7 linked regions of the Sus scrofa genome follow. The main gene of each other region encodes a partner of the protein of the gene in region 6 in a complex. Links are inferred from orthologs where the notes say so. Each region holds a gene or a part of one and is shown on either strand. Other genes may lie near its edges. The genes, in order: PIGH, DPM3, DPM1, PIGC, PIGQ, DPM2 and PIGY.

Region 1 (4,108 bases), on a different chromosome or scaffold from region 6:
TTTCCCAAAGACAATCCTCTCCCTCCCCCACCTCGATGTAGATCCACTGCTCCTTCTGTTCAGGAGTAATCTTATGTTGTCAGGAATATCTGAGGATACCTGAGGGCTGTTTTTACTGAGAAATAGGATTTTAGTTACTTCAGAAGTTCCTGGAGGAGTTCCCGTCGTGGCGCAGTGGTTAATGAATTTGACTAAGAACCATGAGGTTGCAGTTCGATCCCTGGCCTTGCTCAGTGGGTTAAGGATCTGGTGTTGCCGTGATCTGTGGTGTAGGTTGCAGACAAGGCTCGGATCCCGAGTTGCTATGGCTCTGGTATAGGCCAGTGGCTACAGCTCTGATTCGACCCCTAGCCTGGGAACCTCCTTATGCCGCAGAAGCGGCCCTAGAAAAGGCAAAAAGACAAAAAAAAAAACAAAACAAAAAAAAACAAAGTTCCCTTCTGAGGCAAATAAAGGCTTTCAGAAATGTTATAAATGTATACAAATTTTAGAGATAAAAATAAACCTAAAGCAACTTCTGCCTATAATTCATCATTCAGGATTTCCCACTGTGGCACAGCAGAAACGAATCCGACTAGTATCCATGAGGATGAGGGTCCAATCCTCAGCTTCGCTCAATGGGTTAAGGATCCAGCATTGCCTTGAGCTGTGTAGGTCAGACAGGGCCCCAATCCTGCGTTGCTGTGGCTGTGGTGTAGGCCAGTACTGTAGCTCTGATTCAACCCCTGGCCTGGGAACCACCATATGCCGCCAGTGCGGCCCTAAAAAGCCAAAAAAAAAAAAAAAAAAAAAATCGTCATTCAGCCACTTTGTCTCTGTCAGTCAGGCAGTATGTGATTTTACAGAGATGCTACTGATCTACACCTACTGTTCTACACTGTTTGGTGTGTTCCTTTTCAAATCTGCGTATTCTCATGCAGCCACAGAGGCCATTATACTGATTATTTTAAATAATTGTATCATATCAAATATCAGTTTATTTAGTCACTCTTTTGTTCACTTTTGAAATCATGTCCAGGTTTTTTCTTACAAAAAAAAAAAAAACACTTATACAAACATGATTATAATATTTTATAGATATATAAAATATTTATGTATGCAGTAAACTGTCTCTCCACCTTTCTTTTTTCACAAAGGATTTAAGGCAGCTAAGCTAAAAGCCTTTTGCATTATAGTTCAAAATTATTTTACTAAAGCTTATGAAGTTTCAAAGATTTTTGACAGTGTTTGAGAGTTGGCTCCAGAGACTGGACACCTTTACCGTATTTTGGGAATTTGTACTTGCTTTTCTATAGTCTTGACTAACAGTGGGTTTAGCTATTTTTTAGTTTAGTGTGTAGGTAAAGGAATTTAGAGTTATTAAATTTGTATCCTTTTTTTTTTTTTTTTTAAGGGCCGCAGGTGAGGTATATCCAAGTTCCAGGCTAGGGGTCAAATCGGAGCCGCAGCTGCCAGCCTACACCACAGCCACAGCAACGCCAGATGCAAGCTCACCACAATGTTGGATCCTTAACCCACTGAGTGGGGCCAGGGATCAAACCCACATCTTCTTGGATGCTAGTTGGGTTCTTTTCTGCTGAGCCACAATAGGAACTCCTGTATTTCTAACTCTGTCAGTGCAAAGAGACTTTTCATATTTCCTTGTATTATCTATATTTTCTTGTTTTAAACTGTCCATCTCCTCTATTAGTCAAGTAGAATCTAGATACTGATTATGTGTTGTAACGATTCACATGTTTGGGGTAGCAAACTTTTATTAAATTTGCTTTCCATGTATTTTTTTCCCATTCTGTGGTTTTTAATTTGTATTACATTTTATTATGTAAAATAATTTTTGATATTTACTTTTCTCTTTTTTTTTTTTTTGGTCGCACTCGTGGCATGTGAAATTTCCTGGGCCAGGGATTGAACCTGTGCCACAGCAGTGATAGCACTGGATCCTTAACCCACTGCACCACAAGGGAACTCCTCAATAGTTACATATTAAACTGCCCTTCTTGACTCTGAGAACTGTTTCGCTTCCTGTGAGGGTCATCCTTGTTATTCCTCTTGCTTGCTCTTAGATGGAGATCATGAAATTTAGACAGATTTAAAACTGTTGGAGTTCCCTTCGGGGTGCAGCAGCAACAAATCCGACTAGGAACCATGAGGTCAAGGGTTTGATGCCTGGCCTCGCTCAGTGGGTTAAGGATCCGGCATTGCCATGAGCTGTGGTCTAGGTCGCAAATGTGGCTCGGATCCCCCATTGCTGAGGCTGTGGTGTAGACCAGCAGCTGTAGCTCCAGTTCGACCCGTAGCCTGGGAACCTCCATATGCCATGGGTGCGGCCCTAAAAAAATAGTTTAAAAAGTAAATAAAACTGTTGAGCTCCTGCTCTGCAGTTCACAGGCTGGGCTGTGGGCCTACAAAGGGACTCCTCCCAGCGAGGTGCTGTGAGGCCTGAACTTCTGCCTCTGAGGCCACACCCGTGCCGTTTGGACCCCCTTGTCGTGGGTGAGAGACTGCAGATGCAGCAGCCCTGAGCACTCTGACGTTCATCCTGACTCTGCACTTCTCCCCCTTGGAATTCAGAGTGCCAAGCCCCGGCTGGACTGCTTGATTGAAGTATACAGGAGCTGCCAGGAGATCTTGGCACACCAGAAATCCACGTCAACCAGCCCGTGAGTCCCAGCATTCGTGATCAGTATTATCTCCCAGGGGAGGTGACTCCTCAGCCACAGCGACTGGTTTATTTTCCGGATTCTAAACCATCAAGTGGATGCAGGCCCAGTAACCAGTCTGGATGCGGCGGATCCCAGAGCCATAGAGCAGCTGACTGGAAATCTAACTTATTTTCCGTGCGATGCAGCGGAAAATATTTATGTATGTTTTAGGGTTTCCCCTGTCAGGTTTTGTGTACTTTACCAACTGAGGGGAGACCTCGAAACCATACGTCAGAAGTAACACTGACAAAGAGCACTTTGTGAAATTCCTGAGCACATTCAAGTTTACTTTTTGTTGCAATTTGTGGAGCAAGAAAATGGGAAATCGATTATCAGATCTCTTGAGAAAGGTAATTTCCAATTGCACTGTACCCCTGTATAAAAGTTGAGAGGGAGGGAAAAAAAAGCCCTTCAGGTACTGGTTGGTAGGAGGAAATGTCCTACAAAAGATGAGCCTCTGCCCATCTAGCGCCCATACAGGGTTAGCTTATGATGATTCTCTTAATAAGCAGATCTCTTTCCAAAACATACAAGGAATTGCTTGGTTCAGGCAGCTGCTTTTTATTGACAGACTTGATCATGGCATTTCAGTCATGGGGGTTAAGCACATTAATACTCTCGTTACTCAGCATTGTCTATGGTTTCAAAAACTTCTTTTGCCAAGAGGGATGAGACAAAAAGCCAGACAGAAATTTGACTCTGGTTTCCAGATATGTTAAAGGCCAGACTACAGAAGCCTCTGTTTACATGGCAGTTTCTTCTGTGTAAAATTAACGAATTAGGGCAGGATTCCTGAAGGGCTGGGAAGAAGATGGGGCGGGGGAATAGCTGGATCCCCAAATTCAGTATGAACACAGCTCCAGTCTTGCTTACTTTTTCTTTGGGATTTTTTTAAAAATTCCTGGGTAGGTGATAATATTCTTATTTACTTTAGAGCCACTCAAGATCTTACAAAACTAGAGCTGTAATTTCTGCCTTTTATACCAGCCCTGGAAGGGTTATTCAGGAGCCTGCGGGGACATGGGACATGTCACCTGTTGAGGTAGAAATGTCTCAGCTAAATCCCAAATCCTGGGGGAAGGGCAGGAACAGAAATGGGAGACAGCTATAAAATTGCCAGCCTGGCAAAGTCAAGTTTGTTTAAAAGAGGCCGACACTCTGATGTGCTGCTTTTTTCGTCATGCCTGTTGATGTAAAGAGTGAGAGAGCAGAAGCTTACAGCCACTAAGGTGTTCCAGTAAACCAGTTCCAGCCTTGCAGTTCTTGCAGTGTGCAACACACACACACTTTGTTGGGGTTAAAGGCCTGGTTCTTGGATGCTACTGCTAAATCCATATCGTTTGTTCAGCCTTTATTGACAAATGGTAAGACTGCCTTAGAACTATGAAATAAAACGCAGTTTCTCC
Region 2 (3,096 bases), on a different chromosome or scaffold from region 6:
TAGGGTTGGCTCAGAAAAGGTTATCTGAAAGAAGCAAGAGGTTGGAAAGACCTAGGAAGGCCTTAAAAACAACAGGGCTTGGGGACTCTGGTGGTGCAACAGGTTACGGATCTGGAATTGTCACAACTGTGGCTTGGGTCGCTGCTGTGCATGGGTTCAGTCCCTGGCCCGGGAACTTTCACATGCCACCAGCATGGCCAAAAAAAGAAAAGAAAAAAAGGAACAGAGCTTGAATTTATGAAGAATGGAAATAAGCCTTCAAGAAATACTTCCTGGAGTTCCCTTTATGGCTCAGCAGAAACGATTCTGACTAGTATCCACGAGGATGCAGGTTCAATTCCTGGTGGGTTAAGGATTGGGCGTTGCTGTGAGCTGTGGTGTTGTTCGTAGACATGGCTCGGATCTGGCGTGGCTGTGGTATAGGCCAGCAGCTACAGCTCTGATTTGACCCCTAGCCTGGGAACCTCCATATGCCTCACGTGCGGCCCTAAAAACACAAAAACAAAGAGAAGGATTTCCTAATAGGGCTAAAAGAACCAGGAAAGTGAAATGGCTTTTCCATTTGAGAGATTTTGAGACGAGGTCTTTGTTTCCTTTGGAGCAAAAATGAGGAAGCCCAGCAGAATGCAAAGACAAAGGCTGGGAAAACCACAGGAAGGTGGCTCTTCTACCTCTTACCCCTTAACAGCTGGTATACAGAACCCCCAATTCCCACCATCCACACTCAAACCAAACAAAGTTAGAAAATAAACTGGCTCTTTAATGGGAGAATGAGAGAGCAGGCTGTCCAGGCGGGAATTCGGTTAGGGTGTCAGAAGCGCATCCCCCTGCGGGCCAAGTCGGCTCGGGCCTCCTGGATCTGGCTCTGCAGCTCACGGGCGGCGTCCTCGCAATCGTGAAAAGTGGCCACGCGATAGCCCACAGTGCCCAGGGCATAGCAGCCAGCAGACACCAGCAAGTAGGCGGGCAGTGGCCACAGCACCTCCCGGCAAGACGAGGGCAGCTCCAGGCCAAGGGCTCCCATGGTCAGGGCCGCCCAGGTGGAGCCTAGAAGCGCCAGTCCCCACAGCCACTGCGCTAATTTCGTCATGGTCACTGAGGGGAAGAGGAGGCAAAGCTCGAGATCCCTGCCACCCCGCTACCCGCTCTTCATCTGAGACCCAGTCCCTGTCCTTCTCCCTCACCCACCCTGAATAGCACCTAACCTCAGAGTCGCTCCCCCGTCCTGCCATTGCTCTTGCGCTCCCGACTCCTCCATCCACCTACACTTACCTCGCTGCCCCACGTCTCCCCTGTTCCGCGCGGGTCTGACGTCAGCGTCGGGAATCCTCCAAGGCTCGCGTTTCCGCCGCTGTGCCTTTTGGGAGTTGTAGTCGGCGAGCAGCGCCTGGCGAGCTCGGGGCTGCGGTCTTGACGTAGGCTGAACTCAGTCGGCTCCGCACCTGTAGCCACGGCCTGGATCTGGGGAGCCTTCGGAGCTGCTTCTCTCCCTCGGGATCCCGCTCCACTACTGGCGTGAGGCTTGTGGACAACCCGAGGATGCCTTAGGCCTTGCAACAAGGTGGGGATGTAATATTGTTCCTCTTAAACTCACTTCTGCACAAAAATCCCATTCATTCATTCGTTTATTCTTTTATTCGTTCATTCACTTGAATATATTTTTTAATTTGTTTATTAGAGTATAGTTGATTTACAACGTGCTGTCAACTTCTGCTGTAAAGCAAAATGACCCAATCATACATACTTGAATGTTTCTTGATCATCACAGTAGACTTTGGAGAAATGGAGATGTCAAGACACTCAGCTTCTCCTGNGGTGGAGAGTGAAAAGCAAGAGTCAGGAAAACAGATGCATTAACAGCTAGCCATTGTGCCCTGAGATAGGTGTTAGAACAAGGGTTGTTGATATTTTTCTCCTTTGTTGCCCACCCCATGGCATATGGAGTTCCCTGGCCAAGGATCAGTCCAGATCCGAGGCTTAGTTGTGACGTAAGCCGCAGCTGCTGCAGTGCCGGATCCTTAACCCACTGTGCCCTGCTGGGCATCGAACCCATGTCCCATTGTTCCCAAAAGGCTGCCAATCCCGTTGTGCCACAGCGGGAACTCCAAGGTTGTCATATTTTAAAAGAGAAACTCAAGGGAACAACCAGTATGGTTTGGAGCTAGAGGAAGAAGTGCTCCGGCATGGTGTCTTTAAGGGACAAAAAACGTGGGGACAGAGGAGTTACCTGATGTGTTTAAGGTATTAAGAGAAGGGGTATACATCTTTCAGAATTTGGCAGACGAATTCATGATAGCTATATAGAAAACCAAATAAGACAAAATGTCAGGCAATTATCAAATTAAGGGAAAACAAAGAATTATAAAAGAAAGGAAAGAGATGGAATTACTGCCAGGCGCTGTGGGTTAAGGACCTTACTGCAGCAGCTTGGCAGGCTGTGGAGGTACAGGTTCAATCCCTGGCCAGGTGCAGTGGGTTAAAAGGACCCTGTGTTGCCACAGTTGCAGAGTAGGTCGTGGCTAGGGCTCAGATTTTATCCCTGGCCCCGGGAACTTCCTTGTGCCCCAGGTGCAGCTATAAAATTTTAAAAAAGAAAAAGAAAAGAATAAGCATTATAAAAGCCTGTCTGATAAGACCACTAGAAATATAACTGTAATCAAACAGTTAGGTTTATTCACTTGCTGCTGCAAGAGAGAGCACACACCAGAGGGACTGTGGAGCTTCTAAGGAAAAAGCCAGGTCATTGCAGGCTATGGGGAAAGGGTTGCGTTCAGGTGATATTTAAATGAAGCAGTGTTTCAGTAGGTTCAAGGTAAGCACAGATGTAAGTGAAGGAGTTAAGTGCAGGGACTGAGAAGTCGACTGAGGTTCCACATGGAAACTACAAAATTAAGATAGTGAATTTCAATTTTTTTAAATTGCTATTGTTTATTTATATTTTATTTATTTATTTATTTTGCTTTTTAGGGCCACACACGTGGCATGGGGAGATTCCCAGGCTAGGGGTCCAATCAGAGCTCCAGCTGCCGGCCACAGCCACAGCCACAGCAATGCAGAATCCGAGGCGCATCTGCAACCTACCTCACAGCTCACGGC
Region 3 (4,108 bases), on a different chromosome or scaffold from region 6:
AAAGAGAGAATGATACAGGAAGACTGCATCTTACCTGTATAAAAACAAAAAGCACACACACAAAAAACCCTGCATTTTAGTTCTATAGATATAGACACATAGACACACACACACAATACACCAAAAGGTCTCGGGTAACATACGCCTGACCACTGATTGTGGTCTCCCCATGGAAAAGGGACTGGGATGCAGATCGAGAAACATGCATCAGAGGCAAATTCAGTTTTACTGGTAACATTTACACTTCACAACAAGAATATACTTGTTTATTTCTTATGTAATAAAAAGTTCAAATTGGGAGCTCCACAGGGGTGTAGTGGATTAAGGAGCTGGCAATGTTGCTGCTGTGGTGTGGGTTCGACCTCTGTCTCAGGAACTTCTGCATGGTGCAGGCTCAGCCAAAAAGAAGAAAAAAAAAAAGGTGGAAAATCAACAACAACAAAAACAAGATAACAGGGATGCTGTGGTGTAAATAAGTATTAAAAAAGCTCGAACTGTTACATTTAGTATGCTTTAGTCTGAGATCCCGAGGCCCAGCCTCTCCTTTTTTTGCCTCCTCGCATCGATTTGATCGCTTTTTCTCACGGCGGCAGGATGGCTTCGCAGAAGAGAAGCTGGGCATGTACAGAAAGTGTGTGTAAGGATGCCAGGTACATACTCTCTGAGGAATGCTTACCACGACTGCTTGGAAAATGCTGTGTGACACTATGACTTGTTAGACAAAAACTTAGTTGTAGAGATCTTTATTCTAGAAAATCTTGATGATATTTCAGAAAACGGTATCAATGTCCACTAGAGCCAAGGGTATTTAGAAGTGGACCTGTTTTTCGATCTCTCAAGGTTGAGAGAAAGAATAAAAAAAAAAAAAAACCCTGCTAAAAAAACACTAATAATACTCTGTTTTGTAAATCTTTATTTATCAGTGAGGCTCATTTTTTTTTTTTGTTTCCCATTTTTGGCCATATGAAGTTCTTGTTTTATGAATTATCTGTTTCTGTACATTTAATTGGGGTATTAATCTCTTTGTCAGAGATAATACTTTTGTTGAGGATGAACAGAAATTTTTTTTTTTTTTTTGGCCACAGCCATGGCACCCAGAAGTTTCTGTGGGATCAAACACATGTCATAGCAATAACCAGAGCCACAGCAGTGACAATGCCAGATCCTTAACCTGCTGAGAAGCCAGGGAAGTCCAACAGAATAGTTTTAAGTACTCAAATCTCTCAATCTTGTAGTTACGCTTGACATTTTAAAAATAATGAATGTGCGTTACATTTCACTATCAGAACAATTTTTAAAAATACTAAACTATACATAAATAATGAGAAAATACAGGTGATTATCTGATCTCTGCTTGGGGGTGAAACAAACCACACACATCAAACATACAAACCTACAAACCTCCCGTCTCCCTGCCCTGTGACCACTGCTAACAGTTTAGAATATGTGCCTCCAATTTTTCTATGGTCCCACTCCTACCATTTATCAGTTAGCCATGTAACCTTGGAAAGTGACTGAACCTCTAGTTTGTTTCCGACCTACAGAGTTAAAAACATATGTATCTTCCCTGTTGTTTGTTTTTCCCTGAAATACTCATTTCAGCCAGTTTGAAAGGGCTAGCTAACAAAGCATCTGTGCATATTTTATCTGAAGTATTGTAAGATGGTTCCTAATTTCTCTCCAACTTTTCTCCCAACTAAACATGTCACCTAAAAGGCAAGTAAGTGCCAACTCTCGCATAGCTTGTTACTGCCCCTCCAAAATAATGTTCTAGTTTAGCTGATCTAAAAGTGATAAAATAGGAATTACCATCGGGGTGCAGCGGAAACAAATCCGACTAGAAACCATGAGGTTGAGGGTTTGATCCCTGGCCTGCTTGGTGGGTTAAGGATCTGGCGTTGCCATGAGCTGTGACGTAGGTTGCAGAAGCGTGGCTTAGATTCTGCCTTGCTGTGGTGTAGGCTGGCACCTGTAGCTCCAATCAGACCCCTAGCCTGTGAACCTCCATATGCTGCAAGCGCAGCCCTAAAAAGCCAAAAAAAAAAAAAAAAAAAAAAAAAAGTGATAATGAATGAATAGGGAATTTCCCTGGTACTATCCAGAAATCATGACAGTGTATGCTATTTTTTTCCCTTTGTTTTCAATCTACCTTGAGGACCATGCTGTTTTAAGAATGTATGGTCAATTGAGCAGGCATTCTTTAAGATATATCAATCAACCACACCTCAAGGCTGAGGTTCTATGACAAAAGAACTCAAAATAGGTTGATGTTCCCTGATAAAATGGAAGTGCATAATGAGAGTATATCTATACGTAATAAATGTGAATGGGTGGCCTTGACCTAGAATTTATTTTAAAAAAAAAATCTGAGCAACTAGCCAAAAACTTGAACCCAGCATTATCTGAAGCCACCGTCGGAAGGATGAAGATCTAAGTTTTTATCTCCTCTGTGCACTTGTCTATCTGGAGCCATCCAGAGGGGCCTGGAGGGGACTGTAGTTCTGTGAACTGCTCATTTGTGAGACAGAAAGACCCTCTATTACAGGACAGATGGACTGTGTAACACATTTCCTTTAAACTCTTCCCACCAAGTAAGATCTCCTCCAACTGCATGGAAATTATTTCATTTTTGGGATTAATCAAGAATAACTGGACCCAGAAATAATTTGATGATGCTTAATTGCCATTTCCTGAAATGCACATGCCAATAAAGGTTCTCAAAGAGACTCTTTTTACACCTCTACTAATGGTTCTCTACTGGGAGGAGGGGACAATTTTGCCTGCAGAGGGTACTTGATGATCTCCAGAGATATTTTTGTTGCCACACTGGGGAGGGGGACTGCTACTCCATCTCCTCAGTAGAGCTCAGGGATGATGCTTACACCCTACAACATAGGGGACAGCACCCACAGAAAAGACCAATCAGGTCCCAGTGTCAGTAGTGCCAAGAGGGAGACATTCTAGTTTATACAAACTACAAAATACCCAATGCCTAGAATGTGTTTTCTAATTAAATTTGGATTTAATTTTAAGCTTTTGGCCCAAGAATTATCTGAAATTGAATTCACAAGTATGCTCCAACATTCATAAAGCCAAACCAGTGGCCAAAAATCAAAATTATGAACCCATTATAAAATGAAGTCTACATTTGCTTAAGTTACTCTTGTAGAAGAAAAACAGGCTTTCAGGTACAGTGGGAAACCCTAAAGTTTAAGACTCAGAAAGTCAATCTACTTCCACCAAACTGTTCTATATATAAAAGTAAAAATGCCAAAGTGCCCTGAAAAATCATTTGTTTTACATGAAAACAATCAGTGACCTTTCCCAGCTACAAGTTTTTATCTATAGCTTTTAGTTGCAGGCAGTATTCTCCACTGAAAGTGGAAGAGAGAAACAGCAAGAAAAATGAAGACATACATTACCAACTGCAACATGGCTCTACTGTCAACTCAGTACCATGCTTTAATTTTACCGCTCAAGAAAAGTGATTTGCAGAGTCAGACATAAAAACAGTTCACCCAAAGGCTCGTTATTTTGCTGTAAACTTACCACTGACTCCACAAATCAAAGAGACATAAAACTTCAAGCACAATAAAATGCATCTAAACCCCAAGCATGTAATTCGCTCTTTATCGTTTCAGTTTCTAGACAGACTGAATTTGAGCATTGTTCATTTGTCATTTTTTCTCATATATAAACACAACTGATATGATAAAAAAATGACTTACAATTTTGTCTGACCCATAGATCTTCACCAACTGTTCAGCAATGTCCCTTGTTCCATCTGGGCTTCCATCGTCTATGATTATAATCTCATAGTTGATGCCACTAAAACAAAAAAATTTAAATTTGTACAGTTTGGAGACAATATTCTTAAATTAAAGGATAATTTAAAAATCACTAATTCTTCCCTATATAAATAGAAACTTATTGCCATGTTAATCATCAAGGAAAACTTCAATTATCAATGAAGCAAATGTCAAATATTTAGTATGTCACCTCCAAACTCAGCATGTTGCTGGAAATGCTACTATACAGTCCTGAGATGTTAAAAATTTCTACAGAGAAAACGTACTCAAGTATGTACTCAAGTCAACTGAGTAGGTCT
Region 4 (3,270 bases), on a different chromosome or scaffold from region 6:
AAGTGACTTTACATGCACACATATTTTTTTTCTCTCTCTCTTTTAGTGCCGCACTCATGGCATATGGAGGTTTCTAGGCTAGGAATCCAATTGGAGCTGTAGCCGCTGGCCTACACCACAGCCACAGCAATGCCAGATCCGAGCCTCATCTGTGACCTATACCACAGCTCATGGCAACGCCAGATTCTTAACCCACTGAGCAAGGCCAGGGGTCGAATCTGCGTCCTCATGGATATTAGTCAGATTCGTTTCCACTGAGCCACGACAGGAAATCCACACACATATTCTTTGTGTCCCTTTTGTCTGTCTTCTGCTTACAGAAAAATTGTGAGACAACTTGATGGATGTGTTGTTAATTTTTTTAATAGATAGAAACCACATCACTTCATTTGTTACATTGAATGAGAGGCAATAATTGAAGAGGGCCCCACAAAGCTTTTCCCGCCACAAAATAACAGAAAGGATAAGCACCTTCACCACCCAAGCCTTTGGTTAACTTTTTCTTTTGATTTCTGATCTCCCACCCACATCAGCATGCTGCTTCCAGAATGGAATTCTGCCTTCGAATCTTATACTAGTTGGAGGGCTAGTCTATCAGTTTGTCTTAGTAACAGAATGGAAGTCACCAAACTCAGCTGAGGAACCTGGACAAGTCTTCTTTGATTTCAGCCTCATCCCAAGGCCCATGAATGTTCTCTTTAAACAGCTGCAAGCGAATGAGGTAGAAAGGACAGAGACATGAGATGGAAACCAGCAGAAGGGCAAAGAGTATGGCTCCCACAACACTAATGGACAGGAGGCCTCCCAAGGCTGAAAATGCAAAAAGCAGTGTGACTCCCACATAACTGCAGGGAGTACATGCCTTCAGTTTTTTCTGTAACATGGGCCACAGGGCAAAAATCTGGATGGCAAATGTCACCATGATGAAGGCATGTAGGGACCGGGGCAGGCGTGAGGCAAGGCAGACAGAAGCAAAGATGGCCATGTTCAAGGACAGTGTGCTGGATACAATGGCAGCATTGGCACCATAGTCAAAGAAGATGAGGTGGCCCAATAGCATGAAGACTGACATGGCATAGATGGTGTCAGTGCTGACAGACTCTGTCAGGGTCTTCAGCACCGGTGAAAAGCCGTATGTGAAAGTAATGAAAACTAGGGCACTCTTCAAGTCAGCCCACCGGGTCCGCCCACTCTTCTTCCGTCCTTCACCTCCATCAATGAGATCAAACAAAACATAGCCAATCAATGAAGAGGCCAGGCCAGTCCCGAAAAGCCAGTGGGGTGCCAGAAGACCCTCATCCATATACCACCAGATAACCACAAAAACACAGACACTGCATAGCTGCTGGATCACCACACTGGACTCAAATACTACAGCCCAATACTGGTATTTCCGGGCATAGATGTTTTTCCGGAGCTCTTCCAGGAACCTTCGGTCCACATAGTTATCAGGAAAGGGCTGTCGCTCATACAAGACCTTCTGCCACTTGGCCTCTTTGGTGTTAGTTACAGGCTGTGAACACATTATCCTTTTGCTCAAACTCAGGCTAGTTCAATCTCCGTTGTAGAAGTCCATGTGGTTCTTGTTCTTTATAAAGTTTTGAAATAAGACCTCTCTGGAAATTTCATGTTGAATGTGGTTGATATGGTACCAACCTTCCCTTGCTTTCAAAGGCAGAACCCAGGCTAGACCTTTAGTAGATGAGTTTGTTCTCTGAGGCAGGACAATATAGCCAAGTTCCTAGAAAAAGAGAGACTGTGAATCTATGAATGTTGTGAAAGGTCAAGGGTAGGACTGAGTTAAAATCAAACCAACTTATTGGGTTATCATAAGCTTATTAGAAGTCTGAACAAAATATATATGGTGGCCATCATGTAACTGAGGACATTAAAATTTCATTTCAGATTTTACATTATAATCCCTTAGCAGCTACCATTTGTCAAGAGTGCATACTATGTACTAAGAGCCTTACGTAGCTTCTTTCATTTAATCTCCACAATCCTGGAGATTAACCCAACTAATAAAGCAGCAATTCAAAGTGCTTAGGTAACTTTAGCCCAAGTTAACAGTGGTAATTAGTGGAGCCAGATTCAAAGGAAACTTCTTTCCCAAAGGCTTCACATGTCTCCCTCTAAACTAGTTCTTAACTCAGGGGTTCACATATCCCTGAGGTCTATGGATGGGCTTCAGACCCTTCAACAACCCTCCCAGTCAATGCATATTTGTAGTTGTAATTTATGCAGATTTCTAAGGCTAGGATCCAAAGCTTTTACTGGGTTCTCAGAGGCATCTATTACTGAAAAAAGTTACCGGTCTAAAAACAAAAACCTCATAATAATAAAGGTACAAGCTCTAAGGTTTATTTAACTAAAGCCAAGGACTGGAGATTCTTAATCCCTTGACCGAGTTTAGCAGCCTTAAAAAGAGTTATCATTCTACTTATTTAACGCGAAACTCTAGGAAGGATCGGAGATAATGATCTCCTTTCCACTACTGCAAAACTAAGAGTCAGAAATACCAAGATCATCCAGCAGGTCTGCGAAGAAAATTCTTATGGCCCGACCTTACGTCTTCCATGGAGACCATGATAGGTTTTGCTTCACAAACCAGACGCCCTGGGAGGCTCCCTCACCGCAGCAGGGACCCCAGCCCCGGCATCTCACGGCCGCCGCAGGGGGCTGGAGGGTCCCAGGCGCTGAAAAGGGCAACGCCCGCCCGCTGGGTCGGGGACAGGGCTGGGGAGGGGGTGGGGAAGGGGAGGGTGTCCCCGAGGGTGTACCCCGCCCGCCGCCACCCCTCACCCAGCCTCGGCCCTGCGGGGGATGGCGGAGGAGGCCCGGAAATACTGACTCCCACTCGGAACCCACCTGCCCGCGAGTTCCTAGGGGTGCGCGGCCGGGCGAGGGCGGCCGCCCGCCTCCTTCCCCATCCGGGGCGCCGGGGTCGCGCCGGCGGCCGAGCACTTCCGGGGCCGCCACAACCTCTGCGGCCAGAGCGTCCTTCCTCTGCCCGCGCGGCCTTGAGGTCACTGCTGCCCCCTCCTGGCCGCGCAAGGGAACTCCCGGCTCCTCTCCCTAGAAGAATGGGTGATGCCTGGAAAGCAAATCCTGGACATGGAGATTGGGATTTGGCACCAGAAAGGCAAAGGACAGAGGCTGGACTGGGAGAAGAGAGATTATAATGGCTACTTTGATCGCGCTCTATTATGAAACCAGACCTTCGGCTAGGGACTTTCGAAGCATCCATGAATACACTAGACACATTCACTA
Region 5 (4,601 bases), on a different chromosome or scaffold from region 6:
CCCGGCTCCCGGCACAGCTGGAGCCAGGGCTCGTGGGAGAAGATCGCGCCCAGGCCCTCCAGGAAGTGGCCCAGGCTCTCCTCCGGCTCCTGCCGGCGGTGGCACCAGGTGCCCAGCACGGCCAGGCCCACCCGACCGGCCTGCTGCACCTGCGCCAGAAGCTCCTTGACTTGGATGGGGATGAAGGGAAAGTGCACCACGGCCAGGACCACGGCACTGCTCTGCTCAGGGACCCACCGTCCAACCAGGAGGCCGCTGTCCGCCGAGGCGCAGCACGTGGGGAAGAAGGCCTTGAGTACCATGCTGGGGACGCTGGAAGAGAGGGGGGAGGGCTCCGCTCAGAGCTGCCGCCGCCGCCGCCACTGTGCCGCAAGCACCACGGGCTGGCTGGCAGCGCCCGACCTGTGGGCCCTGGCCCACATGTGGCCCAGTCGGCCCTGACAGACACATCCACTGGCCGCTGGGCCCACAGGTCGGGGTGACCCAGCTTTGGGTCTGGTCACAAGGCTGGTGGGGAGGCCCGGCTGTCCGTCTTCGGCCCAGGCTGCTCCCACCCCACCCTGAGGCAGGGGCACACGTCCCCCTTCAGAGCCGAGCAAGCTGGGGGGGGGCACTGCACAGAGCTGGGCACAAGGGTGCAATTTTTGTTTTTAAGGACCTGATGACAGTTCTTTGCATACACATAGAAAAACGTACGATCTCATGAACAACTAATGTAAATTAAAAATCTAACAAACCTTGATTTTCTAAGTTAGCGAGAACAAAGACGAAAAATTAAATGGCTGCTGAGCTGAAGGAAATGAGGCAGGGCACCGGCACTGGCAGCTGGCTCTGGCACAGGCGGGCCCAGAAGATGCCTGGGGGCAGGCCTGATGCCCCAGGGAGCCCGCACCCTCCCCCGGGGAGCCTCAGCGCCCAGGGCACAGGCCAGCTGCCTAGGGTTTTCTCTACGACCACCAGACCACTGGAGCCTCCAGCACTCAGCTCTGCCCCCCCTCCCTGGAGCCCCGCCCTCCTCTAGGACCCACTCCCCTGACCAAGGAGGGGTCTAGAAGTTCTCCCACCAGGGGAACAGCAGAGGGGACGCCAGCCTTCCCAGCCTTACAGGACCTCCAACTAGCCTTGGGGAACAGGGGACAGAGTAGGACACACATGTTGAGGACATGCCTTTCCTGAGGGTTAGAGCAGTCTGGGAGGGGCAACAGGTGCAGCTGCTTTCCTCCCGCCAGGTAGTCAGGGCACAGCTGAAGGGGGAGGCCTCTCCCACCTGTGGGTTCTGAATGGAAAGGGTCCCCTGAGTCAACCAGCAGCCAGGCTTCCAAATGCCCCTCTGCCCAGAGACCAGAGAGGGCCAGCCACGCGAGTGTCTCCAGGAGAAAGTCTCTGTGGCCATCAGCAAGGACCAGCTGGCCTTCCTGACCCTTCTGAGGGGCACTGTGAGGACAGAGCCGTTCTGCCTTAGGGTCCTGGCACATCTGGTTGGGTGACCACCTGGGGGACCAGCCAGCCTGGTCCAAGCCTCTCAGCACCAGCCCATCGGACACACCAGCTCAGCCAAATGACAGCATCACACCCTGCCTGGGACTCCTTTCACAGGACCTAAGGAAAACTGCCCGTAGCCGATGTCAGAAACTGAACACAACTGGTGGGAGGGAGTTCCCTGGGGTCTAGCGGTGAAGACCTGGAGCTTTCACTGCTGCGGCCTGGGTTCTGTTCCCGGCCTGGGAACTGAGATCACATCAAGCTGCTGCAGGCCACGGGCAAAAGAGCGAGCAGGGGCTCTGGGGGAAGTGGGCTACACACTGAGTTCACTTTCAGAAAATTCATTGAGCTGTACCTGTAGGTGCACTTTCTTTGTGTGTTTTATGCTTCATCTACAAACTTTTCCCAAAAAAAGCTCCTCTTGTCTAGGGAAGAGCAGAGAGCAAAGGGTGGTGTTCCCGTCCGTGGGGCAGAGAGAGCGCTCTTCTCTTAAATCATGGGGCAAGCTTCCATCCCCACCCCGCCTCAGCCTCTGGGCGGGACCAGCACAAAGAAGGCTCTCAGATCAGACCGCCAGGAAAAGATGAAAGAGCAGGCAATCGATAGCAGAGGTGCAGACGGGAGGGAGCAGGCAGCAACCCCGCGCCTCGAACATCTTTAAAGACTGTGCACAAGCCTGGGAAAGCTGCCTCTGTTAAGAATGACGGTCTGTCCTCTGGGACCCGGCCCGTTCCAGATCCGTTGGGGAAGGCCAATGCGGGCATGCCCGGCGCCTGGCAAGCTCAACTCAGTAGCCTACCTCATGAGGCTGAAGGCCTCCCACCTCTGCGCGAGTGGATCCAGGGCAAAAGCCCAGTTACAACCAGCCAGGGACGTCTCTAGCCCTCCCCTGTGGAGACTCGCGCTCCTCAAGAGCTCACAAGATCCGTTCTTACTCTATGTGTTTGTGTTTAGAACACAACAAGCGTTCAGTAAACAGTGCTTTTCTTCTCTCATTTCAGAAGAAGAGACACGAATCTAGGGCTCTGGGTTTTGCCCTTTACTGCAGTCAGGGACAGCTGTAAAGTGCTGACAGCCGGTTCCAATGACCCTGAATGCCCTTCCAAAGAGTCCACAGCGGGAACCAGGTTGGGCCAGAGGGACCCGGCTGGCCTCCCTTCACCCCACAGGGCCGGGACCAGATTCCTCGCCAGGGCACCCACGCCGCCCCGCCGCAAACGCGGGGCTTGGCGGACGGGCCCCAGGAGGACCCGGCGGGGCCTCACCGCCCTCCCAAGTCTCAAGCCCGCCCTGGCCGGCAGCGTCCCTATTTTACAAATGAGGAAACAGAAGCTCCGAGAAGCAGGAGGCCAGCGCGGCTCCGGAGACCCTCGGGCTCCCGGGTCTGTCGGGCGGCGCGGCGGGAGTCGGGACCACAGGCCGGCGGGGGCAGCTCCCCAAGGTCGCGCCGCAGGACGCTGGCCCGCCCCCTGAGTGCTCACCGGCTGCTCCCCGGGGCCGCCCCCTCGGGCGGCAGGGTCGGGATGGGGTTGGGGACAACGACGGGTGGGCCCGGGCGGACGACGGCGCTCACGGCCCCCAGCCCCGCCGCGGCCGTGCCGCGGGACAGGAGCCCCATTTCCGCCCGCTCCCGGCGTTGCCGCGCTACGGTCCGTCCCCAAATGTGCCCGGGCTGCCCGCCGGCCTCACGCACAAGCGTTCCCCGCATGCAACGTTCCGGACCCTCGAGCCAGTGTGGCCAGAATGACTCCCTTGTTGCCATAGCGTCCCCGTCTGCCCGACCCACGCCGCGCACCTTGGTCCTCCTCACGCTCTGTGCACAAAGCCCTTGTCCCACCTCCAGCCTACCCACAGTGTCCCCAACACCCCTGCCTTCCAGTCATCCACCTTGCCGCAGCCACCAAACCTCTCTCCCATCCCGAGTTTCCTCGTCTGGGGACCCATTAGACCTGACAAATGAGGATCCCCGCCCTCTCCTTGCCCCCCACCATCCAGGTGAAAGGACCCCAAGTCCTGGGTGGGATCTCCCGGCTCCCCTCTCCCAGCATCCTGGTTCCTGCAGGGGCCACGTGAGCTTGGAGGGCCAGCCCAGAGGCTGAAGCCATCCGATCTGATGGCCCCTCCTGCTCCAGGGAAAAATACCCCCAACACCAGCAGCAGCAACTAATGTTTACTGAGAACCGGCAACAGAACTTTCCACACTGACCCGCTAACCCACCGCCACCTCCGCAGAGCCGGAACATATAGGCGGGACCTTGTCAGGCAATGGCCCAAACCACAGACCCCTAAACCACAGTCCTTGTGAGAGGCAGAAGCATCCCTCACCAGCCGCCCGGGCAGGACTAGGCACTGTCCCCTCCCCCTGAAGACCCCCTCACTGGAACTGGGAGCAAGGCTGGGCCCCAGACTCAGAGTAACCCCGCACCTGCCCGCCCCTCCGGGCCTCCTGTTCCTGCTGTTTTTCAGCAGCAGGAGTCTGTCCTCACAAGAACTGTCCCCATGCCCTTGCAGCCTCGTTTGCGGAGGAGGAAACGACGGCTCAGACAGCCTCCTGTGGGAGAAGACGCCCAGGAGCCTGGAGGTTCACAGCTCAGCCACGTGACAGCCCAGGGCGCCTCCAGGGCAGCCCCTCTTCTGCCCCCCCTTACCTCGGCTGAGGCCAGAGAAGCTGCAGGAGGCTCAGAACCTGGGGCGCCTCTGAAAATGGGGGACTGTGAGGGGCCGCGCCCCTTCCCAGACTGCCCTGATGAGCCCAGCCCAGCCACACCCTCCCCGCCGGCTTCTGTCTGATTAGGAGGCAGGGGCTGCGGCGCCAGCGGGAGATCCTGCCTGGGGGAGGGCTGGCAGCTGGCCCAACTCTCCAGAGATCCCCAGGCTTCAGCTGCTGGCCCCGAAGGGCAGGCCTCCTGGGCCCTGGGGGCTGGGAGGCAGGTGATCCCGGCTGCCGAGCAGGACTGAATCCTCGCCCAGAGGAGGACAGGGGCCAGTGCAGGGCTCGGCACAGCAGCGCTCAGGAGGGTCAGCAAACGTGCAGGGTCAGGAAGGCATGGCCAGCACCCGCCTACCCTGAACTTTCCCCCACCGTGGTCCTGGCTGGAGCACGCACGGTCAGGGGCTAC
Region 6 (4,827 bases):
ATCAAAACCAGCCCCATCCCAGCAACTCAAGCCAGACCCTCCTCCTCCCACTCCAGGCTGGTGAATCTTTTTTTTTCTTTCTTTTTTTTTTTTTTTTTTGCAAGCAAGCAAAGTCTTTATTACAGGAAAGCAAACAGCTCCCAGGACAGCTGGGAAGGGCAAGAAGAGCCCCACTCTCTATTGGGGTTTTTATCCCTTAAAGATGGGGGGGGGGTAACCAACGTGAGGTCCAGAAAGCTGTGGTTTTCTCCCATTGGCCTTGCCCAGTTCAGTCCTTGTCCAATAGGGTCTTAGGGGTGGAAATGTCCCGTAAGTCCCATGGTGTCTTTGCCCTTCTCTTCCCGTAGCCTGAGTCAGGGGGCTTTGAGATTAATGTCCGTCTGGGCGTAGGTACACTCCCTGGAGGAAACAAGGCATGTGGGGATGTTACTCCCTGGAGCCCTTTAGCCGCAAATGTTAATCAATAGACATATCCAAGAATGCATCGAAGCCCAAGCTCCTAACACTGACTACCTGAGTGACTATTCTGCCTCAGTGCCCCCCCCCCCTGCCCCCAGAGTTGGAGACTTTAACTTTGGAGGCGGGGGGACAATGACCGACTGCTCTGACTGCTTCCTGCTGACAAGGGGTGTCCTTAGGGAAAGTGGTTAGGTCTCCACTCATGGCACGGTCGGTTGAGTGGGCTTCAATACATTACCTTGGGTACCCTTTCTTTCACTATCTGTAGGTTGATAGCTTTTAATCAGGACATAACAAAGCAAGACCTACAATTAATTATCTAGGGTCCAAATAAAAGGCTCAAGATCACAATGATGACTATGGTGAACAAATATTTCCATCAGGAGGAGGAGGAGGTCAACCCGTTCCAGAGGGCAGCTCTAAAAGCTGGATGGAGCTGGATCAGACATCTCACGAATCTGCTGCCGGAGATCTCGCAGGGAATCAGACACGTTCTGCGAATAATCAGGAATATAGGCACAACATTCAGATTTTATGACAGCACGGGTACCTCCTTGGCCTGCACTGAGTATGTCTAAGGCCATTCGGTTTTGCAGCACTACTTTTCTTATTTGTTTTTGTTCCATATTTAGGGTAGGAATAGCTTCTGCAGTATCATTAAGAGATTGTGGAGTAAAATTAGTTAAGGCTTCCACCCTCAGCATTATCCGGTGAACGTTTGTCTGCACCCTACCCTCAACAGAAGAGTTGGGGCCACCACACCAGGAAGTAGCGCCCTCGGGTTCTGGAGTCGGCTGCACCCTCTACTCGGATTGTGATCTTCAAGTGCTTGCCTCTTTCTGAGCCTCATTTTCCCCGTCTCAAATATGGGACTTTCGACCCCCCACCCCATCCCGCTCTGGCCTTGGGACTCGGATATTGAGATGGGGTTTTTTTCTGGGTCGAGTTCGACCCGACTGAGACCATAAATGCAGCCTATCTGGGTTCCCCACTGGGTCCCATTTCCCAGGGTGATTCGGAAACACGGCCCACAATACTCTTGAAAACTACATTTCCCGAAATGCAAAGGGGAGGCGGTGCCTGCCTGTCTTGGGCGACGTAGTCCTGGGACTGCCTAAAGACTACGACTCCCGACGGGCCCCGCGGCCCAAGGCCAGGAGGGCCCGGATGCGGAACCGGATGTGGCTTACGGCTCCGGTGCCTGGAGCGCTGGGGAAATGGTGAGCTTGGGGCTGGGAGTCCTGGGAATGAGGGCGTCTGGGTGTGGGGTCCTAGGTCTACTCAGAAGCTGAGGCTTGAGCTCTCGGGAGCCGGGATCACTCTCCCGCCGGCCCATCGTACGGGTGGTAGGTCTTTAGCCTGCACTCTGTCTCAAGCCAGGAAATGGAAACCTCGTCAGCCACGTCGGATACGCCTGCTGAGTGAATGGGCGTAATCAGGCGGCAACTCCCCCCTCCGTTAGTGCACCTAAATGGAGGGTCACTTCCTCAGTTGAGCTTTCCCTTTTCTCCAGGCCACAGGGACAGACCAGGTGGTGGGACTCGGCCTCGTCGCCGTTAGCCTGATCATCTTCACGTACTACACCACCTGGGTGATTCTGTTGGTATGTGTGCTTCCTCGTCCGCTCTCACCTCCTATCCCTAGATCTTGAAGCCAACTCCTAACATTTAAGCACGTGACAGGCCTACCTGCCCATGTAATGAAAGCGTCAGAGCAGCAGTAGGAGGACGACACTAGCGGTGTCCCCATTGTATAGATGACGAAGCCGAGGCTCAAGGAGAAGGTTCAGACCTAAGGTAGAATCCTGAACCACTACACTGTAAGGTCCTGTGCCTTTAATGGGAGTTCTAGTCCTTCTGGTTATCCTGCGGGCTCCTGGGCATGACAAGTGCCAATGGGTTTTGTGAGGGTCTTTGGGATATCCCCCCCCCCCCCGGTGGAAAAATGTGTTAAAATGTGCAGTGTGTTTGGGAATCAAAATCTTTTTTTTTTTTTTTTTTTTTTTGCCTTTCTAGGGCCGCTCCCGTGGCATGTGGAGGTTCCCAGGCTAGGGATCGAATCGGAGCTGTAGCTGCCGGCCTACACCAGAGCCATAGCAACGTGGGATCCAAGCGGCATCTGCAACCTATACCACAGCTCATGGCAACGCCGGATCCTTAACCCACTGAGCAAGGCCAAGGATGGAACCCACAACCTCATGGTTCCTCGTCGGATTCGTTAACCACTGAGCCACGACAGGAACTCTGGGAAGCAAAATCTTGCAGAACTTGATGTTCTTTGGGAGAAAAATCTTAGTAAAGAAAACTTTTGTGGAGTTCCCGTCATGGCGCAGTGGAAACGAATCCAACTAGGAACCATGAGGTTGCGGGTTCAGTCCCTGGCCTTGCTCAGTGGGTTAAGGATCCGGCATTGCCATGAGCAGTGGTGTAGGTTGCAGATGCGGCTCAAATCCCGCATTTCTGTGGCTGTAATGTAGGCTGGCAGCTGTAGCTGCGATTCCACCACTAGCCTGGGGACCTCCATATGCCGAGGGTGCAGCCCTAAAAAGCAAAACAAAAACAAAAACAAAAGATCTTGGAGCCCAGATTGGGATTCCTCATGTACCCTTTGCCCCTGCTAAGCTGTGGGGGACTTAAGCCAGGTCCCCAGCAGCAGCTTAGAGCAGGCACCAGGGAAGTACCTAGTATACCACTTGTAGAAAAATGAAGGAAGGGAACCAACCAAAGCACCCAAGATGCCATCATCTTAAAGAAAAGCAAATGCAGCCCCAGCGCTTTGACGGGGTCAGCCCCTGAGACAGAGGAGGTGGGATGTTTGGGCTTGGGGCGCTCAGCAGAGCCAGGCATGCTCACCGGAGCTCTGCCCTTGTGCCAGCCATTCATTGACAGTCAGCATGTCATCCACAAGTATTTCCTGCCCCGGGCCTATGCTGTTGCTATCCCGCTGGCCGCCGGCCTCCTGCTGCTCCTCTTTGTGGGTAAGTTCTCCCAACCCTGGGCGGGGTGTCTGAGGGACCCCATGACCCTCTCCTACACCTGAACATGCGGCTGTACTTTGGCCCCTGCGGTACACCTGCTGGAGGCTCCTTGCCCTCAGTTCACCCCCTGGGGTTTCCGTGTTCATCCCTCAGGGCTGCAGGCTTCTCGATCCTCAGGCTCACTGGACTCTAATGGGGTGTCTCCTTGTTTCCTGCTCCTTCCACCACCATCACCCCTCACCCCCTTGTCACTTTGGCCTCTGATTCCTGCACCCCTCTGACTCCCAGGGTTTAGTGTGTGGGCTTCCTAAGGCCAAAGACTGTATCTTCATCATTACTGTGTCCTCAGTGCCCAGCACATGCTGTGGCACTGAGTTGGTGCTCAAAAAAGTCATTTGAGTGAGTCAGCAATCAGGTGTCTGGATGATGGGGTAGGTGGATGGTAGGTGCTGAGTGGGCAGCTGGGGAGGTAGGTGGCCAGATGGTTGACTAGCTGAGTCGATGGATGGTTGGGTGGATCTTATTCCCTGTAAAATCGGAAACACAAATCCAGCAGGTGGCCTGTGGTCAGCCCTCGGCTGATGTTTGTTGAATGAATATAGGTGGGGGTGTGGCTTAGCGAGCCACTTGGGAGATGACCGGGGGAACCTGGAGGGTGGCTGGGTCGGTGCCTGGCCCCGCCTGCGGGTCCCTCTGTCATGCTCTGTCCTGCTCCGGCCTCCCAGCAGCCCTGAGCCAGGACCTTAACTGGCCTTTCTGGCCCGTGTGTTCCAGGAGTGTTCATCACCTCCGTGATGCTGAAGAGCCAGAAGGTGACCAAAAAGGCTCAGTGAGGGCCTGGCCGATATAAGGCTGCGGCCCTTTCCGTTTCTTCGCCAGGGCAGACCCAGGCGGGGGGCCCACAGGACCCATCCAGGCCCTGAGGCCCCCCTCAAGCCCAGCTGCCCTGAAGGCCCCCCCCGGCCCAAGGGGGACGGAGCTGTTCAGGACTCGCCCCCCAACTGCCCAGAGCCCCTCCCCTCCCCTCCTCCCCCTTCCAGAAGCCAGGAGGGAGGCGTCCCTGGAAGTCTCCCTCTCACCCCCTTCTGGCTCAGTGCCCGAAAGATGCAGCTCATCGCCCCTGCCCTCCGCCACCTTCGGACTCCCCGGCACTTTTCCCTGCGGGTCTACACTCTTGGCTCACTTCCCCACCTGTCACATGCTGGTGTTGGACTTGGCAGGTTCTGGGCCATCACAGGACCTCTCCCCACCAACCCTGCTCCTCCCCAAAGGCTGCTTTCCCAGGTCTGACATAGGCCCAGGCCCTGCGAGGATTTCTGGACCTGGAAAGCTTGGGGGGAGGCCTGACAGGCTGCCGGCACATTAGGGCGGCCACGGTAGGGCCCCCCATT
Region 7 (4,907 bases), on a different chromosome or scaffold from region 6:
ACCTTGGGGGCTGGGTTCCGGCCTGGCCCACCAGAGCTAGCCAAAGTCAAGCTCTGCATTGCAATACCTTGCTGAACCCTCTTTCCTATACCTCACTCCTTCCCTAGAGCCCAAGGTATCAACTAACTACACCTGAAAAATTAATTCCTACTATGGTCTAGTGGGAAATAACATAGGAACTTAACAACGGGACCTCTTGAGGCTACATCCCTGACAGCTGCCTCAGGCTGAAATCTTTTGCACATTAGTGAACAAAGAGCATCCAATGATGTAGTAGATTTTTTAAAGTAGAGTGAACAGACAACACAAATTGCCTCTGCTTTTGCACTGCTGAGTGGAAGAGAAATTTGGACATACAATCTTGTATGTGTATCTATATATCCCTCAACTCCTATCCCCACCTCCCAGGAGCTCAAAGTGTGAAGTGGTAAAGCCCCAACGATGCAAGAAAAGATTCAATATTTAGCGAGACAACGAGAAAATTTGGACGTTCCCCTCGTGGCTCAGCAGGTTACGAACTCAACTAGTATCTATAAGGATGCGGGTTTGATCCCTGACCTCGCTCAATGGGTTAAGATCTGGCTTTCCTGTGGCTCTGGTGTACGCTGGCAGCTGCAGCTCGTATTTGAGCTCTATCTAGCTTGGGAACTTTCATGTGCTGCAGGTGCGGCCCTAAAAGGACAAAAAAAGGGGGTGGATTTTGATGACTAACCAAGAATCTTCTAGTATACTGGGCTGCAAAGAATAGAGAAAATAAAAATGACAACATATGCCATTAACTGAGCATTCATTTGCCACAGGCATTTTTCTAAATACTCTTTGCATTCATTAGCACATTTTAAGCCCCAGGATGGAATTATATGAGGTAGGAACAATAATTAATCTAATTACACAGATAAGAAAGCTGGGGAGGGAGTTCCCGTCGTGGTGCAGTGGTTAACGAATCCGACTAGGAACCATGAGGTTGCGGGTTTGGTCCCTGCCCTTGCTCAGTGGGTCAAGGTTCCGGCGTTGCCGTGAGCTGTGGTGTAGGTTGCAGACGCGGCTCGGATCCCGCGTGGCTGTGGCTCTGGCGTAGGCCGGCGGCTACAGCTCCGATTCGACCTCTAGCCCGGGAACCTCCATATGCCGCGGGAGCGGCCCAAGAAATGGCAAAAAGACAAAAAAAAAAAAAAAAAAAAAAAAAAGAAAAAGAAAAGAAAGCTGGGGAGTTAGGAGATTTGCGGGAGCCCTACAACTAGTAAACGATGCACCTGGGACCAAGGTGTCAGGCCCGGACCCCCGGCACTTACCTCCTACACTATAAGAAAGAGATCAAATCCGCATCATTTTCTGGGAGAGTCAGAAGCAAATGCGGGGCGAGAAAAAAACCACTGTGTGGATCACCCACTTAATTAAAGGACACAGTTACTTAGACTCCTTGCGGTTTCCAAGCTCATTTACAGAAGCAAATGAGTGGTGCTATTATTATGCCATTGAGCCCAGGGTAAGAAACTGGGCATCTTAAGTTTAAGAGGACTAAGCCATTCTTTTCCCGTTCTTATATTTTTTTTAATGAAAGGAGAAAAAAAAAAAGCCAAACAAGGTTATAGGAAGTGTGGTACTGCAAAGACTGACAGATACACATAAAACAAGTAATGCTTTTTAACATACCCAGTGTGACAGTGTGTTGGAAACCTCCTTTTGGTGATAACCACGGAGGTCCAAGTCTATCACTGTGTGACTCTGAGGTCCGGCCACTGGCTTCCTGGAGGCCCTGCGACAGGCCCTGGTGAAAACTCAGGACGCCTCCACTTGAGCGTGGGTTTTGTCTGCAACCTGCAAACGGGCAGGAAGAGCCGCAGAAAGCCCAGGCTGCAGGCGGGGCTCTCCATACCGAGCGGTGCCGCGGGAAAAGCAGTCGGGTCCCGAGCGCCCTCGGAACCAAAGAGCGGGCCTCCAGCCGTCGGGGGCAGCGTTTCCCGAGCACCGGGGGGCGGGGCCTGGCCGCCTGGGCGGGACTCCCCGGGATCGGCTGGAGCGGCCGGAGCGGCCCAGGGGGTGCGGAGGTCCGCGCGCCGGCGGCCAGACCATGCTGAGCGGAGCGCGCGGTCGGCTCGCCTTAGCGCTGCGAGGGACACGCGCGCCGCCGTCCGCGGTCGCCAGGAGGTGCCTGCACGCTTCGGGCTCGCGGCCGTCCGCGGACGAGAACAAGAAGGAGGGGAAACCGCCACGCGCCTTCGACCCGGCGCTGCTGGAGTTCTTGGTGTGCCCGCTGTCCAAGAAGCCGCTCAGGTAAGATTCGTCCGCTGCGGCTTTTCCCTGGTGGCCCCCTGTCGCCGGGGAGACGTTCAGGTCACCCGGGTGTTCTTCGCTGCCATGTTTTGGACCCGGGCCCGCCAGCTTCCCGGGTACTCGCTCCGCCGCGGGAAGGGCGGGAGGAGGCCCCAGCCGAGCCCCAGGCCTCCCGGACCAAACCGGCCACTCGCAGGCCTGGATCCTGGCGGGCAGCTTCTCCGCCGGCAGCGTTTTAGAATCTCGGGGGAATCCTTCTTAAAACGCAGATCTCTAGGCAACGCCCCACCCGGGCTCAATCCGAAGGCCTTGGGGCCGAGCCAGAGCAACTGCGTATTTTCTTGAAAGGATCCCAAGTGATCTTCCTGTACAGCCAGGGTTATGAACTCGGGATTCGGAAGACTAATCCATGGCATTCAGATTTTTAAGGCAAGGCGATGAAAAATGTGATAGCTTCCAGATTGTTGCGAAAACGCCGGGTAGGATCTTAAGCGCATCAGCTACGTGTGCGGCCCTTTGGTTTTTAGTTCTCGACCAGCCGGTTCTGTAAAGGCCTTCTTAACCTTTCACCTAGACTCTTTAGGATAAACATCTCTGCAGTTGCAGGCTGCTAAACCTGAACGTGGACAATACTAGCAAACACCGCAGTGTCATCAGTGGCTGCCTTTGGGTGGTAGATTGCTGCTTCCGTGGTTTCCTTCTCATGGATCAGTGAGGCAGGTGTTCTGATAAGCGAAGAAGCTGAATTTTCCTCTCGTGTCTGTTCCAGTAGTAAATTAGCTGGGATCGTTTGAGGGTTTAAAAGAGTCATGAAGGAATATTTGGATGAAAAGGAGAGATCTTTTCTTTTTTTTTTTCCACTAAGGCATAGCTTAAGAATAACGTGAAAAAGAAAATGAGAGAAACAGACTAAAATGGGAACAATTAGAGATTCCTTTTCTAAGAGAAATGGTTGAATTGGCTACTGCTGCTTTTAGAATGAAAAACAGTCTAATTCTGCTTTTCTGGCTCTAACTGTGTGAAGAATTGGATAAATGTTACTGTTTATTGAACCTCAGACTCTTCCGGGATTCATTTTGGTTTTCTTCTGCCCCTCAGATATGAACCATCGACAAATGAATTGATTAATGAAGAGCTGGGAATAGCCTATCCGATTATTGACGGGATTCCTAATATGATACCACAGGCAGCTAGGATGACACATCAAAATAAGAAGCAAGAAGAAATGAAGCAGCACTAGGTCATACGTAAACACAACACAAGGAAATTTTCTAAACACCATCCACCTTCGAAGAAGCCAGCGTGGCGGGTGGTGGGTGGGAGAGAAGAATGTTTCTGTCTCTTCCCACGCTGACTGTCCTTGTCCCCCTGGTCTCTCTGGGAGGACTGCTGTACTCCGCCTCCGTGGAAGAGAGCTTCCCCCAGGGCTGCACCAGCACAGCCAGCCTGTGCTTCTACAGTCTGCTCCTGCCCATCACCATCCCCGTTTACGTGTTCTTCCACCTCTGGACTTGGATGGGTATTAAACTCTTCCGGCATAATTAACGCAGCCGGAGCCACGATGGTATTTAAACTCATGATATGCTTGAGTGAGTGTGTCCGAAAGCTCCGCCACATGGAAATACTGGAAACCCAGACTTTGCAGGAAAGAGGCTTTGCTTATTAGCCTTTGTCAGAGGTTTAGGACTATGTGACGTTTAAGCTGCAAGAGGCTTCTTTCTTGTATTTTGGTTCTTCCCCTGCTTTTTGAAGGTTCTGATTTATACCTGGTCTCTCGGAAGAAACATTTCAACAAAGTGGCTTGTTGGAAATTAGCACCCCCACAGCCATCATCTGATGGCTTGTTCTTATCCCATTCATAATTAAAAATTACTAATTCGAAATTGTAGGTTTGTTTTTAGGTTCAAAGCCTTTGGTAAAGCCACATGTGAAGGATGACTGAGATAATTCCAAGGAGCTATGGGGAGTAATTGTAGAGAAATGCATTTGGACTAGTGTGATATAAAACTATAATAAAATGTAAATTTCATGTACTTGCCAAAATTCTGAGTTGGTAAAATTGCCTTCATTTCTTTGGCATCAGATGGCTTACATTATTAATAAGATATTGACATTTTCCATAAAACAATTTGCAGTTTTGTGTTTGGTTTTTTTTTTTTTTTCCTTTTGGTCACAAGAATATAATTCAAAGACAAGGAAATTATATGTTTAGAGAGGCACCCAAAATAGAACAGAATTTCCCAGGAAAGTATGTGCTGTGAGGAGAGGTGGAATTGAAAGACTGGCAAATAGCTGATTGTGTCCTGTTGAGTTTAGTTAGGGCGATTATTGAGCCACATTTCAGTTTATTTTTCTGCCATAAGAGACCTATTTATTTAGCAATACTAAGGGCATGAGCATTTGACACATTAATAGTTATTGATTTTCCAGAATTTTCAATAAGACTGATTAGTACAATAACTGTTTCAGAAGTATAACAAATGTTTCAGTATTTACCCTCATGAAGCCTAAGAACTCAATGTAACCTTAACTGATTCTTAATAGAATTTTAAAGTAGTGTAAAAGAAGCTTTAGACAGTGATTCTTCCCCTTAAAAAGAAAATTTAAAACATGAGGTTAGGCATTCCCGTCGT

Evidence for each region.
Region 1: DPM2 (region 6) and PIGH share a complex: the UniProt entries of both Homo sapiens proteins name them as parts of the glycosylphosphatidylinositol-N-acetylglucosaminyltransferase (GPI-GnT) complex. The link is inferred for Sus scrofa from reciprocal best matches to the Homo sapiens genes DPM2 and PIGH.
Region 2: DPM2 (region 6) and DPM3 share a complex: the UniProt entries of both Homo sapiens proteins name them as parts of the dolichol-phosphate mannose (DPM) synthase complex. The link is inferred for Sus scrofa from reciprocal best matches to the Homo sapiens genes DPM2 and DPM3.
Region 3: DPM2 (region 6) and DPM1 share a complex: the UniProt entries of both Homo sapiens proteins name them as parts of the dolichol-phosphate mannose (DPM) synthase complex. The link is inferred for Sus scrofa from reciprocal best matches to the Homo sapiens genes DPM2 and DPM1.
Region 4: DPM2 (region 6) and PIGC share a complex: the UniProt entries of both Homo sapiens proteins name them as parts of the glycosylphosphatidylinositol-N-acetylglucosaminyltransferase (GPI-GnT) complex. The link is inferred for Sus scrofa from reciprocal best matches to the Homo sapiens genes DPM2 and PIGC.
Region 5: DPM2 (region 6) and PIGQ share a complex: the UniProt entries of both Homo sapiens proteins name them as parts of the glycosylphosphatidylinositol-N-acetylglucosaminyltransferase (GPI-GnT) complex. The link is inferred for Sus scrofa from reciprocal best matches to the Homo sapiens genes DPM2 and PIGQ.
Region 7: DPM2 (region 6) and PIGY share a complex: the UniProt entries of both Homo sapiens proteins name them as parts of the glycosylphosphatidylinositol-N-acetylglucosaminyltransferase (GPI-GnT) complex. The link is inferred for Sus scrofa from reciprocal best matches to the Homo sapiens genes DPM2 and PIGY.

Annotation. Positions count from the first base shown.
Region 1 is NC_010449.5:91,306,134-91,310,241, reverse strand, and holds part of PIGH (phosphatidylinositol N-acetylglucosaminyltransferase subunit H), read left to right. Parts: intron 1-1,393; coding exon of another isoform or gene 1,394-1,405; exon of another isoform or gene 1,406-1,446; intron 1,447-2,381; coding exon 2,382-2,522; 3' UTR 2,523-2,571; coding exon of another isoform or gene 2,572-2,664; 3' UTR 2,665-4,108. UniProt on the Homo sapiens protein: Part of the glycosylphosphatidylinositol-N-acetylglucosaminyltransferase (GPI-GnT) complex that catalyzes the transfer of N-acetylglucosamine from UDP-N-acetylglucosamine to phosphatidylinositol and participates in the first step of GPI biosynthesis.
Region 2 is NC_010446.5:94,659,867-94,662,962, reverse strand, and holds DPM3 (dolichol-phosphate mannosyltransferase subunit 3), read right to left. Parts: upstream 1,396-3,096; 5' UTR 1,273-1,395; exon of another isoform or gene 1,206-1,272; intron 1,096-1,205; 5' UTR 1,091-1,095; coding exon 812-1,090; 3' UTR 740-811; downstream 1-739. UniProt on the Homo sapiens protein: Stabilizer subunit of the dolichol-phosphate mannose (DPM) synthase complex; tethers catalytic subunit DPM1 to the endoplasmic reticulum.
Region 3 is NC_010459.5:52,370,144-52,374,251, forward strand, and holds part of DPM1 (dolichol-phosphate mannosyltransferase subunit 1), read right to left. Parts: intron 3,829-4,108; coding exon 3,729-3,828; intron 1-3,728. UniProt on the Homo sapiens protein: Transfers mannose from GDP-mannose to dolichol monophosphate to form dolichol phosphate mannose (Dol-P-Man) which is the mannosyl donor in pathways leading to N-glycosylation, glycosyl phosphatidylinositol membrane anchoring, and O-mannosylation of proteins; catalytic subunit of the dolichol-phosphate mannose (DPM) synthase complex.
Region 4 is NC_010451.4:114,824,454-114,827,723, forward strand, and holds PIGC (phosphatidylinositol N-acetylglucosaminyltransferase subunit C), read right to left. Parts: upstream 1,526-3,270; coding exon 632-1,525; downstream 1-631. UniProt on the Homo sapiens protein: Part of the glycosylphosphatidylinositol-N-acetylglucosaminyltransferase (GPI-GnT) complex that catalyzes the transfer of N-acetylglucosamine from UDP-N-acetylglucosamine to phosphatidylinositol and participates in the first step of GPI biosynthesis.
Region 5 is NC_010445.4:41,173,224-41,177,824, forward strand, and holds the start of PIGQ (phosphatidylinositol N-acetylglucosaminyltransferase subunit Q), read right to left. Parts: upstream 3,143-4,601; 5' UTR 3,101-3,142; coding exon 2,964-3,100; intron 313-2,963; coding exon 1-312. UniProt on the Homo sapiens protein: Part of the glycosylphosphatidylinositol-N-acetylglucosaminyltransferase (GPI-GnT) complex that catalyzes the transfer of N-acetylglucosamine from UDP-N-acetylglucosamine to phosphatidylinositol and participates in the first step of GPI biosynthesis.
Region 6 is NC_010443.5:268,420,359-268,425,185, reverse strand, and holds the start of DPM2 (dolichol phosphate-mannose biosynthesis regulatory protein), read left to right. Parts: upstream 1-1,628; 5' UTR 1,629-1,676; coding exon 1,677-1,679; intron 1,680-1,972; coding exon 1,973-2,062; intron 2,063-3,333; coding exon 3,334-3,436; intron 3,437-4,210; coding exon 4,211-4,269; 3' UTR 4,270-4,827. UniProt on the Homo sapiens protein: Regulates the biosynthesis of dolichol phosphate-mannose. Regulatory subunit of the dolichol-phosphate mannose (DPM) synthase complex; essential for the ER localization and stable expression of DPM1.
Region 7 is NC_010450.4:130,525,572-130,530,478, forward strand, and holds PIGY (phosphatidylinositol N-acetylglucosaminyltransferase subunit Y), read left to right. Parts: upstream 1-1,999; 5' UTR 2,000-2,071; coding exon of another isoform or gene 2,072-2,274; intron 2,275-3,372; coding exon of another isoform or gene 3,373-3,514; 5' UTR 3,515-3,603; coding exon 3,604-3,819; 3' UTR 3,820-4,412; downstream 4,413-4,907. UniProt on the Homo sapiens protein: Part of the glycosylphosphatidylinositol-N-acetylglucosaminyltransferase (GPI-GnT) complex that catalyzes the transfer of N-acetylglucosamine from UDP-N-acetylglucosamine to phosphatidylinositol and participates in the first step of GPI biosynthesis.